Drosophila melanogaster: one gene and its partners. The protein of the gene in region 1 purifies or fractionates together with the protein of each later gene. This does not show direct contact. Each region holds a gene or a part of one and is shown in the gene's direction. Other genes may lie near its edges.

Region 1 (3,273 bases):
GTAACAAGTTTATTTTAGTGAGATGCAATCAACAACTAACTAGCTAACTAAACTGAAAAGCATATACATACGTGAAAAACAATGAAGAAACTTTTCCCCAATTAAAAACGGAAATTTGTTTTCTTTCAGCACTCGGCGTGCGACAGAGGAACCCAAAAGCTTGCGCCTGCGGTGATCACGAGTCTTCCGGTTGTGCGACTTCCTTTCGCCAGCTGCTCCATTGCATAATCGCCAGAGATGCCATCGCTGCTGCACCTGCTGCTCCTGGCGCTGTTTTTGGGTGAGTCGCACATGACTTCCTCATGCAAATGTGGCTAAATTGGGACTTTGATTTAGTGGCCATGCCGACGCAGGGTCGCAAGATCAAACGGAAGGAGCCACACTATCACCATCACGTCAATGTGCCGCCGCCACCACCGCCGCCATCGCCCCATGGACCGGGTCCAGTGCCCCAGCAAACGGCGGTGATCGAGCACGAGGTGCCGCCATACACCTACGAGGCGATTAACCACGACGAATTCGAACCGGCCAAGGTGAAGCTCTCCCACTTCGAAGGCTCCTCCGATTACATAGTGCACTCCCACCGCGGAGGCGGTGGAGGAGGAAGCGGTGGCTACCTGGCCGACAATGGATTGCGCAGCATAGCGAAGGGTTCAGCGGATCAGGCCCTGTCCGCAGTGGCCAGCCAAAATGCGGCAGGCAAACAGGCATCCTATGTGGCCAAAAGTACTCTGGCTCAGGCGGCAGCACAAGCAGCCGGCACAGCTGTGGCCGTGCTCAAGGGCAAAGAGGTGCTGCTCCATCGGCTGGAGGATCAGAGCGTGGAGGCCCACAAGGCCATGGAGAACGAGCTGACCCAACTGCAGCAGGCCAAGAGATCCGCCAAGGCAGCCCAATATGCCGCCCAGCAGGCCATCAACCATGTCAGTGTCCTAACTGCCGCACTTAACAATGCCCAATCCGCCTCGGAGTTGGCACAAAAGGCAGCATCGGAGGCGGCGGCCGAGCTAGCTTCGCAAATTGATATGGTGGCCCAGGCCAAGACCAAGCTGGAGCACGCCGAATCGCAGGCTTATGCAGCTCGACTGGACTACGAGGAAACGCGCGATGCGGCGGAGAAGGCTACCTTGTCCGCCCAGGAGGCGCACTTGAATGCCAATGACGCGGCCTTGCATGCCAACGTGGAGCTAGCGGAGAATGTGCATATCCACGACAAGAGCGATCGGAATGTGCGCGAGCCGCCGCGAAACCACAGACTTCAATAGTGCACTGCCACAATCTAGGCTTGTAATTCTTATTTATTTGTTTTCCTCATTTAATGTTTGTTTTGCTGCAGCGATACAATAAAGTTTTGTTGACATTAAACTCTCTCTCTCTCTCTCTCTCTCTCTCTCTCTCTGCTTGTTTAAATGTTTGCAGCGCAAACAATAGCGTAATTAACAACAAAAGATATGAGCTTGAATGTTGGCAGAAACTCGTTTGAAAACGTTACCTCAGAGATTGTAAGAATATTTGAATTAGCCGCTAAGCCAGGAATCGATATATTGGTGTGAGTCCTTGCTAATGCAAATCGGGCAGTTAGTATAATTTGGTTAGTGGGCTACAGTCACATTGTTGTTTAGATCTTTTAAGAAAAAGCCGGTTGAAATATAAATAAACATTTAACAATGAGTCGCACGGAGCAGACATTGGAAGACCTGAAGTCGTATTTGCGGAGTCACAGCAAAATCCGCGAGCAGCGGTCGCACATGTCTAAGGTGAGCACGATGGCCACATTTATTGGGCAACCAATGAATTCCCGCCTGCCCACAGGTTCACTCGGTCTGCTGGAATGCCGATGGTCGTTACCTGGCCTCCGGAAGCTTCGACAAGACGGTGGTCGTCTACTCGCTGGAGCGGGACCGCTTCTTGAAGGGCAACACATACCGGGGACACACTGCGTCCGTGGACCAGCTGTGTTGGCATCGCACCAATCCCGACCAGTTTGCCACCGCAAGCGGAGACAAGACCGTGCGCATCTGGGACATACGAGTTGGAAAATGCGTATCGGTGACGAACACCAAGGGGGAGAATATCAACATTGCCTGGTCGCCCGATGGCAAAACGATCGCCGTGGGCAACAAGGAGGATCTGATCACCTTTATAGACACACGCACGAACAAGATTCGCGTGGAGGAGCCGTTCAGCTTCGAGGTCAACGAGATATCGTGGAACAACACCAACGACCTGTTCTTCCTAACCAACGGACTCGGCTGCATGCATATCCTCAGCTATCCCAGTCTCGAGCACCAGATGACCCTGAAGGCCCATCCCGCCAACTGCATTTGCATTGAGTTCGGACCCACGGGTAGGCAGCCATTGCAATCTCATATCATATCTAAATATGCCTCTTTCGTTTCCAGGTAAATACTTTGCCACTGGCTCGGCGGACGCACAAGTCTCCTTGTGGGATGCCAACGAGCTGGCCTGCCTGCGCATGATCAGCCGCCTGGAGTGGCCCGTCCGCACCATATCGTTTAGCCACGACGAGCGAATGATTGCCTTGGCCAGCGAGGACCTCATTATCGACATTGCCTTCACGGAGACGGGCGAGCGGGTAACCGACATTCACGTGGACGCCTCCACGTTCACGGTGGCCTGGCATCCGAAGCAGTACCTGCTGGCCTACGCCTGCGATGAGAAGGACAACGATCGGCGACGTGACGCTGGCAACGTTAAGATATATGGCTTTTCGGAATAAAGTAACCTAGTTTAAGGCGCATCTGATGGTAAAGACCACCCTGTTTGCTTTCCAATTACCTTTTCGAGTGTGACTTTATCGACGTACCTGACCGTCGATGATGCACTTTCGTGTTAACTGGGTCACGTTGCTAGCCGAGCGAGCATTCTAGGTTATCAATTGCAGGGCTTCGCCGGCGGACGTGTTCGTGGCAGCCATTTCGGTTTTATCATCTCTGGCTCGCTTTTATGGCTTTGCCGGACCCAGCTGATGCGCCCTGCTGCTCCAGGAGCTGCTCAATCGGCGCAGCTGAACGTTGCAAGCACTTTGCTTTTATCATGCAAATAACGACGCTGGCGGATGCGAATGCTGACCCAATGCATGTAGCTAGCTTTACGGCAATGGCTTCCTGCTTCTTAAGCTATTAATCAGTGTCAGCTTTTCGAGGGCTCAATCCCGGAAAGATGTTGGCTGGCGTGCATGGTCGCTACGACCATATTAGGCAGCTAAACTGGAGAGCCATAAGGTCAAGTTTTGTGGAGCTGGCGCGAGTG
Region 2 (4,680 bases), on another chromosome or scaffold:
TTAATGGCTTCGTGGCCCAGGCCCTGGCGGTGTACAACCACGTTTCCAACTCTAACCAGGCCACCAAGTCATCGGAAAACGTGAAGGGTGTGGGCGCCTGCCTGAACGCAAAGAGTGTTGAGTACAAGGAGTTGCAGGAGGATAAAAGCAGTGTGAAAATGAATATTGAATAGGAATGAATAAACGGTTGTTGCTATTACATTTGCCCCACTCATAGTTGTTATTATCAAGGCGAGGATATTAAATTTTTGGTTCAACAAATAAACGCCTATTTATTTACTTCGGAAGGTACTTCAACAGTCGAACCTCGTGCGACAGCCACAATGCGAAACTCAGCAGAATAAGCGAGCCCGACTGGTGGGCCGTTGCCAGAGGCACGGGCACGTAGTTAAGCAAGGTGGTTACGCCAAGCGTGGCCTGCGTCCAGGCCATAGCCACCACGGCGTTGATGGCCCAGTTGGCGCGCTTGGGCAACTGCATCCTTCTGGTGACCAGCCACAGAGCGGTGGTCAGCGTTACTGTGCTAATACCAAGGATGCGGTGATTGAACTGCACCGTCGTCGGATTCTCGGTGATGTTCTTCTGTATGGGCGCAAACGTCCACATGTCATCGGGAATCCACTTGTCGCCCATCTTCGGGAACGAGTTGTACACGAGTCCGGCGTCTAGTCCGGCTACAAAGGCTCCAGAAATGGCAGTCAGCAGGACCATTGCCTTCGTCAAATGCGTCAGCCCCTTGATATTAAATGCTTTCTTGGCTTGGATCACGAATGTGTTCGTGGGGATGAGCAGGGACATGGCCTTTGACAGGGAGAGTGAGTACAGGACGAAGGCAGCTGCCAGGTGGGAGGCCAATCTATACTGGGATACCCGTGGCACGTCGTTGGGATCCTGGAACCTGTCTTCCAGCCCGGACTTGACCATGTACCATCCCATCAGACCTTGCAGGCCAATCAGTGTGCCCAGCAGCAGGACGCTCTTCTTGGTCTTCGCACAGAAGTATCCCTTTCTCCAGAAGTAAACAGCGGGCAAAAGGAAGAACCCGCCGATGGCACGACCCCACATCCTGTGCATGTACTCCATCATGAAAATGAACTTGAACTCCTCCACGGTCATATTCACATTCTTTCTGAAAGCAGAAGTTTGCATGTAGTTCCTGGCGTTGGATGAATCTGGGGAGTACTCACAGCTTGTACTCTGGGTATTGCTGGTAGAGATTGAACTCCTGCACCCATTCCTCCTGGGTTCGGGGCATACGTTCACCCGTCAGCTTCCAAGTGACCATGGACAGTCCGGACTCTGTCAGTCGGGTTACTCCGCCTGGAAGAGATTCACTTTCGCAAGGAACTACAAACTTTACATTTTGTTATTGGTTACCTAGACCAACGGCCACGAAGACCATGCCGCTGACTCCCAGGAACCATCTTCCGACGGTCTTGTCGCTTTTCGGAGTGCTGATGGGCTTTATCACTGGGATTTCCTGAAAGGTGCGGCATTAACAAATATTACTTTATAAATAAAAACATATTTTTATATGTAATCAGTGGGATATTAATGCAACCTTTATCGCTGTTTGCGCAATCGTCTGGTGAAGTCGGGGGCCGGGTACTACTAGCTTTATGAGATTGGTTCTCTTCTGGAGCAATCGCAGCATTGTGTTATTTCAAGTTTGGAGAGATTAACTTAAGCTTACAGCAAATATTAAAGGATATATTTTGTTTTTTAACTATATTTACAAAGCCGCTACCAAGTGTGACCGCAGCAGTGGGGTATGCGCATATACTAAAATCATTTTGAAAAGTACCGGCGAATGTTATCGACTCGATAGCCTGGCCACATTATATCAGTTTTGTTAATAAAAACAACTTTTGCGGCTTCTGATTTACAATTTCGCCAAATAAAATGGAAACAATATTGAACACGCAGTTCGATCAGCTGCAAAAGGCCATAGAGGGAATTAAGGAGGCGAAGAGCAAGGTAAGTCCGATTTCCGTGCCAGAGTACAGCTCTAAATCCGTCCACATCCGTCACGAGCAGGGGCAATCGACGGATGAGGCTCGCATTGCCACCACCTTGATGTTCGTGGCTCTGAAGCACGCCAACCGCGAGGTGAAGCACAAGATCAAAGCGGGGCGCGACAAGCTGCACCTGGAAAAGTGCAAGGTGGACCTCAGCCGGCTGCAGCTGCAGAATCTTCTGTACGAAGTGAGCCACCTGAAGAAGGAGATTGTGCGCTGCCAGAAGTTCAAGAGCAGGGACACCAGCTTGGAGCTGCTCTCGGAAGCCGAGTACTCCAGCGAGCTGCCAGACATGCCCAACGACGCGGAGGAGCTGTCCAGCCACAAGCAGCACCTTCATCGCCTCGACTGCGAGCTGCGTCTGCGGAAGGCACTCGACAAGCAGTACAGCGCCCTGCTGAGCTCCAAGCAGGAACTGCTCCAGGACAATCTTAGCCACGCCCAGCGGTACGTCTCCTTCGCACCCGCCTTGCGCACTCTGCAGAGCGCCACAAAGCCGCTGCACGATGCACTCCAGCTATCCCTGGACGTGGAATGGAAGCTAAGCGCAGTGGTCAAGTACCTGCCCAAGCCGCTCTACGTTTTGTTCATTGTCCTGCAATCGCTGCAGCGGGTCAGCGAGGAGCAGTCCTTCACCGCCGAGGTGGTTGGCTATGAGAGCGAGGCTCAAATGCAGGAGTTGCTTAAGGAGAAAAAGTGCTCCACATTGAACTACAGACAGACTAAAAAGGAAAGTGGAGACCGGGAAAAGATTGCCGATAAAAACAACTTGGACGACTCACTCGCTCCTCACCCACTACACATTTGTTTGACGGTAGGATGACATGGTTTGCTCATTCCAAAACATTTATTAACCTAAACTTTAAAGATTGGAGCGGCTGGATCGAATCAGCTCGTTTTGCAGATTCGCTACTTTGATTTTATCAAGTGTGCCACTGTCTGGGGCCAACTTAACTGCTCCAGGAATGCCAACGGCCAGGGGTAAGTTTGGAACACACCTAGGAAAAAATCGCATAAATAACTAGGCATTTTTTCACAGTGACACAAACTTTGTTCACCACCTATTGCGGCATTTGTACCCCAATGACTTGGGCAATGAATTACCCATTCCGGGAATCCAATACGAGGTAAGAACTTCCTTATCCAACGTTGGACAACCAATTAAATTACGCTCTTTCAGCTACGAAGCTCGGATTTAACAGCCGAGGAATGTGTGCGCTACCTCAAGGCCAAGGACTACGGAAAACCCTTCTGTTGGCTGCAAAGTATGTGCTCGATTGCAACCGTCAACAGTTCGATGCTGTACAAACACGAACTGAACTTGAATAAGAACAACAAGGAGATTATTGACCGCATTGCCAGGCGCTTGAACTCTTGGCAGCGTTTAAGCCAGCAGATTCGCGGGCTGACCTTCAAGGATATCGATTTGTATAGCTTGCAGGAGAACATCTATCCAGCCGGCCTGTCGTGCAGTCTCGTCCAATGGACTGCCATCACACATGAGGAGCTTCACTCGCAAATTTCAGACGCACTGAATTCTTCGTCAGCGGACAAGGGTATTACGTACAACTCTTACCGCGCTGTCATCGTCCGGGGATCGGCCAAAATGGAGTGCTTTATTAGAATACCGAGTAACTATCCACTGGAAATGCCTCTATGGATTCTGAATGTGCACTGGAACGGATGCCTTACCGCGCAAAACAATTCGGCGATCAAGGTTTGAACTTATTCAGGTATTATCCTCCAATTAGCTTTTAAACTTGTATTCCTCAGATGATGGAGTTCTGGACCAACTCCCTGCAGCCCAAACATTTGGAGCCCAACGACTGCATCCTGTACGCGCAGCTCTTCCGCACCATCTACAGCTTCGATATATTCCTCGAAACCGAGGGATCCATGCAAAACACCATTGAGTACAACAAGGAGAAGCCTTACATAAGCGCCTTCGCCAAGCGGAGCCGCTCACGCCCCTACAAATACATCAAGAAGGGATCGGTCTACGCGTTCAAGCAGTGACAGTTGAATAACGAATGTTGTACAACACAATGCGCCAATGCGGTTACTAAACGTTCTCACAGTTGCGTTTATTACGATTAGTAATACAATAAATAAGTAACATTTAAAGCTAGCTAGCTACGACTTCATTGGCAGTTGATCTTCTGGGAAGAGGTCGCTGCCAAGGATCCGGGAGGTAGTGCCGTCGCAGAAGGGTTCTCAACCGCCTCCCGACTCTCGTCCGGCATCACTTTGTCCACGACGTGCTTGACGATCAGCCCATCGTCGCCCAGATAGCAGACAGAGTAGCCGTCGTACCAGGCCTCCTGATCCTTCAGCACCTCCTTCAGTTGCCAGAGCTTGTACTTCCAGAACTGGAACATGACCTTCAGGCCGGAAATGCCGCGCACTCGCCACCTTATCCGCACTGTGTAGTCGTCCTGGTGCTTCGTGATCTTGAGCACCTCGAATTTCACGTAGGCGTACTTCAGGTGGCCAACCGTTCGCAGGATGGCGATCTGTTTGACGTAGTGGTACAGGCCCACCGTGTGCTTGCCCGTTATGTTGTTGTGGAAGATTAGGCCCGGGCTGTAAATGGAGTAGTCTAGGGGCTCCACGAACAGCTTTGGTAGCGTGGTCCTCAGAACCTCGTAGGCTCTATCCAGGT
Region 3 (4,960 bases), 2.5 Mb from region 1:
TATTTGAAAATAGATTAGAAATAGTCAAATCTATGTACATATTATCACAAAAATAAATTTCAAAAATGAATTTATATAAGAATATTTGTCATTAGAGTATTCATCTTGCGGCGTGTGAAAAATTAATAAGGCAATGATTGTTGAGTGCTTGTGTCCGCACTTCGTGCCTCAAGATATGAACAAAGCAAAGACACTAGAATAATTCTATTGTCTTTGATATTACTTTTGCAATTTAATTTAATTGCATATTTAATTATTTAGTATATTTATTAAATCATTTGACTTAATATGATGTAACATTAACATTAAAAGTGTTTCAAAAAAAATATTTCGGTTTTAAAAAATTGTCAGATGAGAGACAAATTAGAATTAAACATAAATACAAATGTGTAAACGGTAGCTAATTCGAGCGGCGATTTTAACAAAGAAATTTAAAAAAGCTTTAAAATTATAATAGCCAGGGCGCGAATTTTTAAAAATTTTTTATTTTATCATATTGCTAGGAAATTGGCAAAAACTACCCTAATATGTACCATGTAAATTCGTTTCTTCGATCAGAATTGATTTCGGCCCGAAAATCGTCTTCTAGCACAACACGCACACTTATACGCGTTCTCGTCTCTTGTTTTTACTCACACAAGCAAGCAAATTATATTTTTAGATTTCTTACGCTCTAAGCGGGAGTGAGCGGAAAGAGAGTAATTTTGGCCGTCACCAAAAAAGTGGCTGCATAGTGCCAAACCAATGTATGGCCGTTACGCATCTTGTTATTCTAGTGTCTTTGGTACAGCCTAGTATAGTATGGTAAATGCAATTTATTTTTATTTAGAATATATGAGTGTTGTATATGTAGATAAAAATGTTAAGCAAGTTAGTAAGGGCACCTAGGCACTCCTCCGGGGTTTGTGAATCCGTTGGTGTTGACCAACCTGCAGATGTCCTTGTATGACCGCGCCGATTTTGCAGGCCTTTCTGGCTGTGGCTGGGAATAACCTCTGTTGTAATAGTCAGGATAGAACTGGAACCAAGAAGGCCTGTGGTAGTTGTAGTCGGGAAAAAATTCTTTAAGCACAGAGCTGCTGCAGAATCTGCTTAGCCCCAGAATCCACAGCAGAATGTATATAATCGACTTGCGCATGGCCACTTCGCCTGAGCTTAAGATTTGGAATAAAGCCGTACCCGATTCTCATTGTATACGCCTGGCGCACTTATGAAGCTTGTGCGACCTCGCACACAGTGGGAAAGTAATTGGAATCTGAAATCTATGCGTGATTGTCGGAATAGCTGATAGCGGGAGTGTTCGCGTGCCCCAGCTCAATGCTATCGTTATCTACAAACCATTCGGCCTTTAAATTGATGTATGATGAAAGTTTATTCAATGTGTGGTTTTTGACGTTTAATAAGAAAAATTCGATTTTGAGAAATGCATTTAAAATGCAATTTTTATTTATCGCAGTGAAGAATAAAATAATATATTTTTTCATTATATTTGTTACCAATTTAACAAAAATATTATGTAGTTGCTTTTTTAAAAGTCTTTCGGGTCAATAAGAAAAAAAAAGCTTACAAACAGAGTATTATGTTCTAAGGAATAGGACCTAAAAACCCTCATTACCTAATTGGTGTTTCAAAAACAGGTTTATGTGGTGCAAAAGGACAAATTTTGCTAACAAAAAAAAAAAAACACTTTTTTAAAAAAACTAACTTACAGGCGCCTAAAAAAAATTATAATCGATTTGTCATCGATTTTTTGGTCTTTAAAGTACTATAGCGGCGCATTATATACTAACCAAAACGAGTTGGCAGCACTCGTGATGTTTTGATTGAAAAAACAAATTAGTTTATTGTTTTTATCTGTTGTCGCCAAAAATATTATTTAAATCAATATGAGCACCGCCGTAGAAGTGGCTAACACGGCTCCGGAGAAGTTGGCCAACTACTTTGCGCTACAGTCGGCGTTTGAGGTAAAACGTTGATGAATGGCCCCGAAACCGGCAATGTTCCGATCTGATAGAAAATAATAATTTTCAGAAAGCCCTTGAATTGGCCATCACCGACGGCAAAGTGGAGCTGTTGGTCAAGGAGTACAATAGATTCCCGGCCAACACCGAGCACGACAAGCGCTTACCCATGGACCACGCGTTCCGCGTGCTCCTGATGAAGCGGCTGGACGAAGATGTGAGTCGCATTGGAGAGCTTGTACGCCTCTCCGTGGAAGCCACGCGGGCCGAGATTGTGTCCAACACCATACCCGTGGTTCTGCTGATCGACACCTTCGACGTGGTCACTCTGGACAAGTGCCAGAAGATATTTCAGTTTGTCGAGGATATGGTGGAGGTGTGGAAGGAGGAGATCTTCTTTTCCTCATGCAAGAACAACATTCTACGCATGTGCAACGACCTGCTGCGTCGACTTTCGCGCACCCAGAACACCGTCTTCTGTGGCCGCATCCAGCTTTTCCTCTCAAAGTTCTTTCCCTTTTCGGAGCGGTCTGGCCTCAACATCGTCTCCGAATTCAACCTGGACAACTTTACGGAGTACGGTCTGGACAGCAAAGACCACGACGAAAGCGACAACAAGGAGCTGGAGGATACCGCTGAGGACATCCCCCTAAAGATCGACTACGACCTGTACTGCAAGTTTTGGTCGCTGCAGGACTTTTTCCGAAATCCCAACCAGTGTTACAATAAGCCGCAGTGGAAGATGTTCCAGATGGTAAGCAGTGGCTTGGCACAATTACAATTGTAGAATATATATATATCTTGGAAAGAGATCAAAGATGTTTGCCAGCTAGCTTGCTCATAAATATTGGTTATTAATAATCCTGCCCCATGTTGGTTCATATTCATATATTGTTACTTTCCCCTTCCAGCACGCTGACAACATACTACAGTCCTTCTCGAGCTTCAAGCTGGAAGACGTGCGCCAAAGTAGCAACGAAAATGCGAGCGGTACTGACCAAGCAATGGATGTGGACGAGGAGGCAGTAGACACCACGGCGGTGTCTTCCGTCATCAAGGCGAATCACTTCTTCGCCAAGTTTCTAACCAATCCCAAGCTTTTGGCTCTGCAGCTCTCCGACGCTAATTTTCGACGTGCTGTTCTGGTGCAGTTTCTAATTCTATTTCAGTACCTGCAAGTCAGTGTAAAGTTTAAAAGGTTCGAATATGAAGAAAGTCCAGGGAAAACGAACAAACTTTAATGATTGTACTTTCAGTGATACTCAAACCTTGACTGCAGACCAGGCGGACTTTATCAAGGAAACAGAGTCGCGTGTTTATAAGTTGCTAGAGGAGACACCACCGTACGGTAAGCGGTTTTCACGGACAGTGTATCACATGCTGGCCCGCGAAGAGATGTGGAACAACTGGAAGAACGAAGGCTGCAAGGAATTCAAGAAGCCCGAGGAACCAACTCTCAGCGAAGAGGACTCGAAGCCAACTCCCAATAAAAGACCGCGCCGTCCATTGGGCGATGCACTGCGCGATGCTTCCCGCAGCGGCAAGTTTTATTTGGGAAAGTAAGTATCGAACGTAAGTCAAACTAAGCCAGTTCTAAAATATTTCACTTCCAGTGACAACCTAACACGTTTGTGGAACTACTCTCCAGATAACTTGCAGGCCTGCAAAAGTGAACAGCGAAACTTCCTACCGCTGCTGGAGACATATTTAGAAACGCCGCACGAAAAGGTTGATCCCGCTTTTGAGTGGCGAGCTCTGCGCTTGCTTGCCCGCCAAACACCGCACTTCTTTACGTCGCTCTCTCAGCCATCGAGCAAGATCTCCGATTATCTTGAGCAAGTGCGCAAACGTCTCATCCGGGACAAAGAGCCCAAACCTGCTGCCCTTTTATCGAACAACTCTTCTGAGAACAATTTTGGCCTGTCGGTCAACAACGTTCATACGGAGGGCGAGCAGGATGCTACGGTCGCCCTTCAGGACGGTGAACCAGAGCAGGATCTTGAAGTAGAGGACAACGAACCTGTGGTGGAAGAGGTGGATGAGGTACCGGCGCACGAGAAACCCCTTATGGTTACCAAAGAGCATATCGAAGAGGTGGCGCCCCTTATAGGCGAGCCATGGATGAAGGTGGGAAAGAAGATTGGCTTCACCAACGATGAACTTCTCTTCTTTCAAATGGAGCATCCTACGGCGAACGTGGCCTGCGTTAAGATGCTGACAAACTGGATATCCGATGACGACGACGCCACCCTGGAAAACTGGGCGTACATGCTAGAGGGATTGGAGATGAATAAGGCCGCCGAAGCGGTGAAGGCGATTATTGAGCGCGAAAAATCTGGATCCACTGCCGCCTTCTGCCTCCGGTAACGACGATGAGGTGCTCTCTGATTAGCATCATCCCCATGCCGATCCCACCCTAGTTATTATAATTTCGTTTCAATCATAAAACTTCTTTATCACAAGTAAAAGAATGGGCGAATATCTATTCCCAATCACCACTCAACGCCTCTTGGCCGGCGGACCGTTACGGGGCTTGTTGTGCACCATGTTAACGCACTTGGGGATATGACGCTCCGCAGCCTGTTCGTTGAATCGGCGACCACAGTGGGGACACTGGACATAGTCTGGATTCTCCGAAGGTGGCGGTGGTGGCAGGTCGCTCAACTTGCCGCCGCGCGCCAAGTGCGCCTTCACCTGCTTGGCCGCTCTAATCGACTGAATGAAGTCCTCGTGCTTCTTACGCCAGTTGTTCTTCTTCACTCCAGTGGTCAGACCCTTCTGCTGGGCAGCACTACTGTAAGTTGAACGGTTGCGATTGCCCTTCGACTTCATATTGAACGCCGCGGCCTCGGTGCCCTCGATCCGCTGCTTGGAGGCATCGAATATCTTGCGTTTGGTGGTCAGCATGCGCTGGCACACCTCCTCGTGCTTCGCCAGACGATCCGTGTTGAAGTGGCGTCCGCAGTAGCGGCATAAAGCGGTGCCCTCTGGGATTGCAG

What was found. The genes of interacting proteins can lie anywhere in the genome.
Region 2: the proteins of tex (region 1) and thoc5 purify together in Drosophila melanogaster (affinity purification with mass spectrometry, with the first as the bait; one large-scale study listed by BioGRID). This does not show direct contact.
Region 3: the proteins of tex (region 1) and Hpr1 purify together in Drosophila melanogaster (affinity purification with mass spectrometry, with the first as the bait; one large-scale study listed by BioGRID). This does not show direct contact.

What each region holds. Positions count from the first base shown.
Region 1 is NT_033777.3:8,306,970-8,310,242, reverse strand, and holds tex (tex), read left to right. Parts: upstream 1-1,597; 5' UTR 1,598-1,667; coding exon 1,668-1,757; exon of another isoform or gene 1,758-1,812; coding exon 1,813-2,347; intron 2,348-2,402; coding exon 2,403-2,740; 3' UTR 2,741-2,770; downstream 2,771-3,273. Other genes in the region: CG11693 (uncharacterized protein), read left to right, coding at 238-280, 337-1,265.
Region 2 is NT_033778.4:23,952,262-23,956,941, forward strand, and holds thoc5 (thoc5), read left to right. Parts: upstream 1-1,829; 5' UTR 1,830-1,902; coding exon 1,903-1,977; intron 1,978-2,037; coding exon 2,038-2,832; intron 2,833-2,886; coding exon 2,887-2,999; intron 3,000-3,057; coding exon 3,058-3,145; intron 3,146-3,198; coding exon 3,199-3,735; intron 3,736-3,791; coding exon 3,792-4,034; 3' UTR 4,035-4,145; downstream 4,146-4,680. Other genes in the region: Stoml2 (stomatin like 2), read left to right, coding at 1-173; CG3803 (uncharacterized protein), read right to left, coding at 277-1,129, 1,188-1,320, 1,378-1,480, 1,562-1,654; CG16787 (uncharacterized protein), read right to left, coding at 4,160-4,680. UniProt on the Drosophila melanogaster protein: The THO complex is required for cell proliferation and for proper export of heat-shock mRNAs under heat stress.
Region 3 is NT_033777.3:5,818,259-5,823,218, reverse strand, and holds Hpr1 (Hpr1), read left to right. Parts: upstream 1-1,778; 5' UTR 1,779-1,886; coding exon 1,887-1,964; intron 1,965-2,031; coding exon 2,032-2,715; intron 2,716-2,872; coding exon 2,873-3,159; intron 3,160-3,217; coding exon 3,218-3,520; intron 3,521-3,574; coding exon 3,575-4,328; 3' UTR 4,329-4,425; downstream 4,426-4,960. Other genes in the region: CG46303 (uncharacterized protein), read right to left, coding at 872-1,138; CG42675 (uncharacterized protein), read right to left, coding at 4,461-4,960.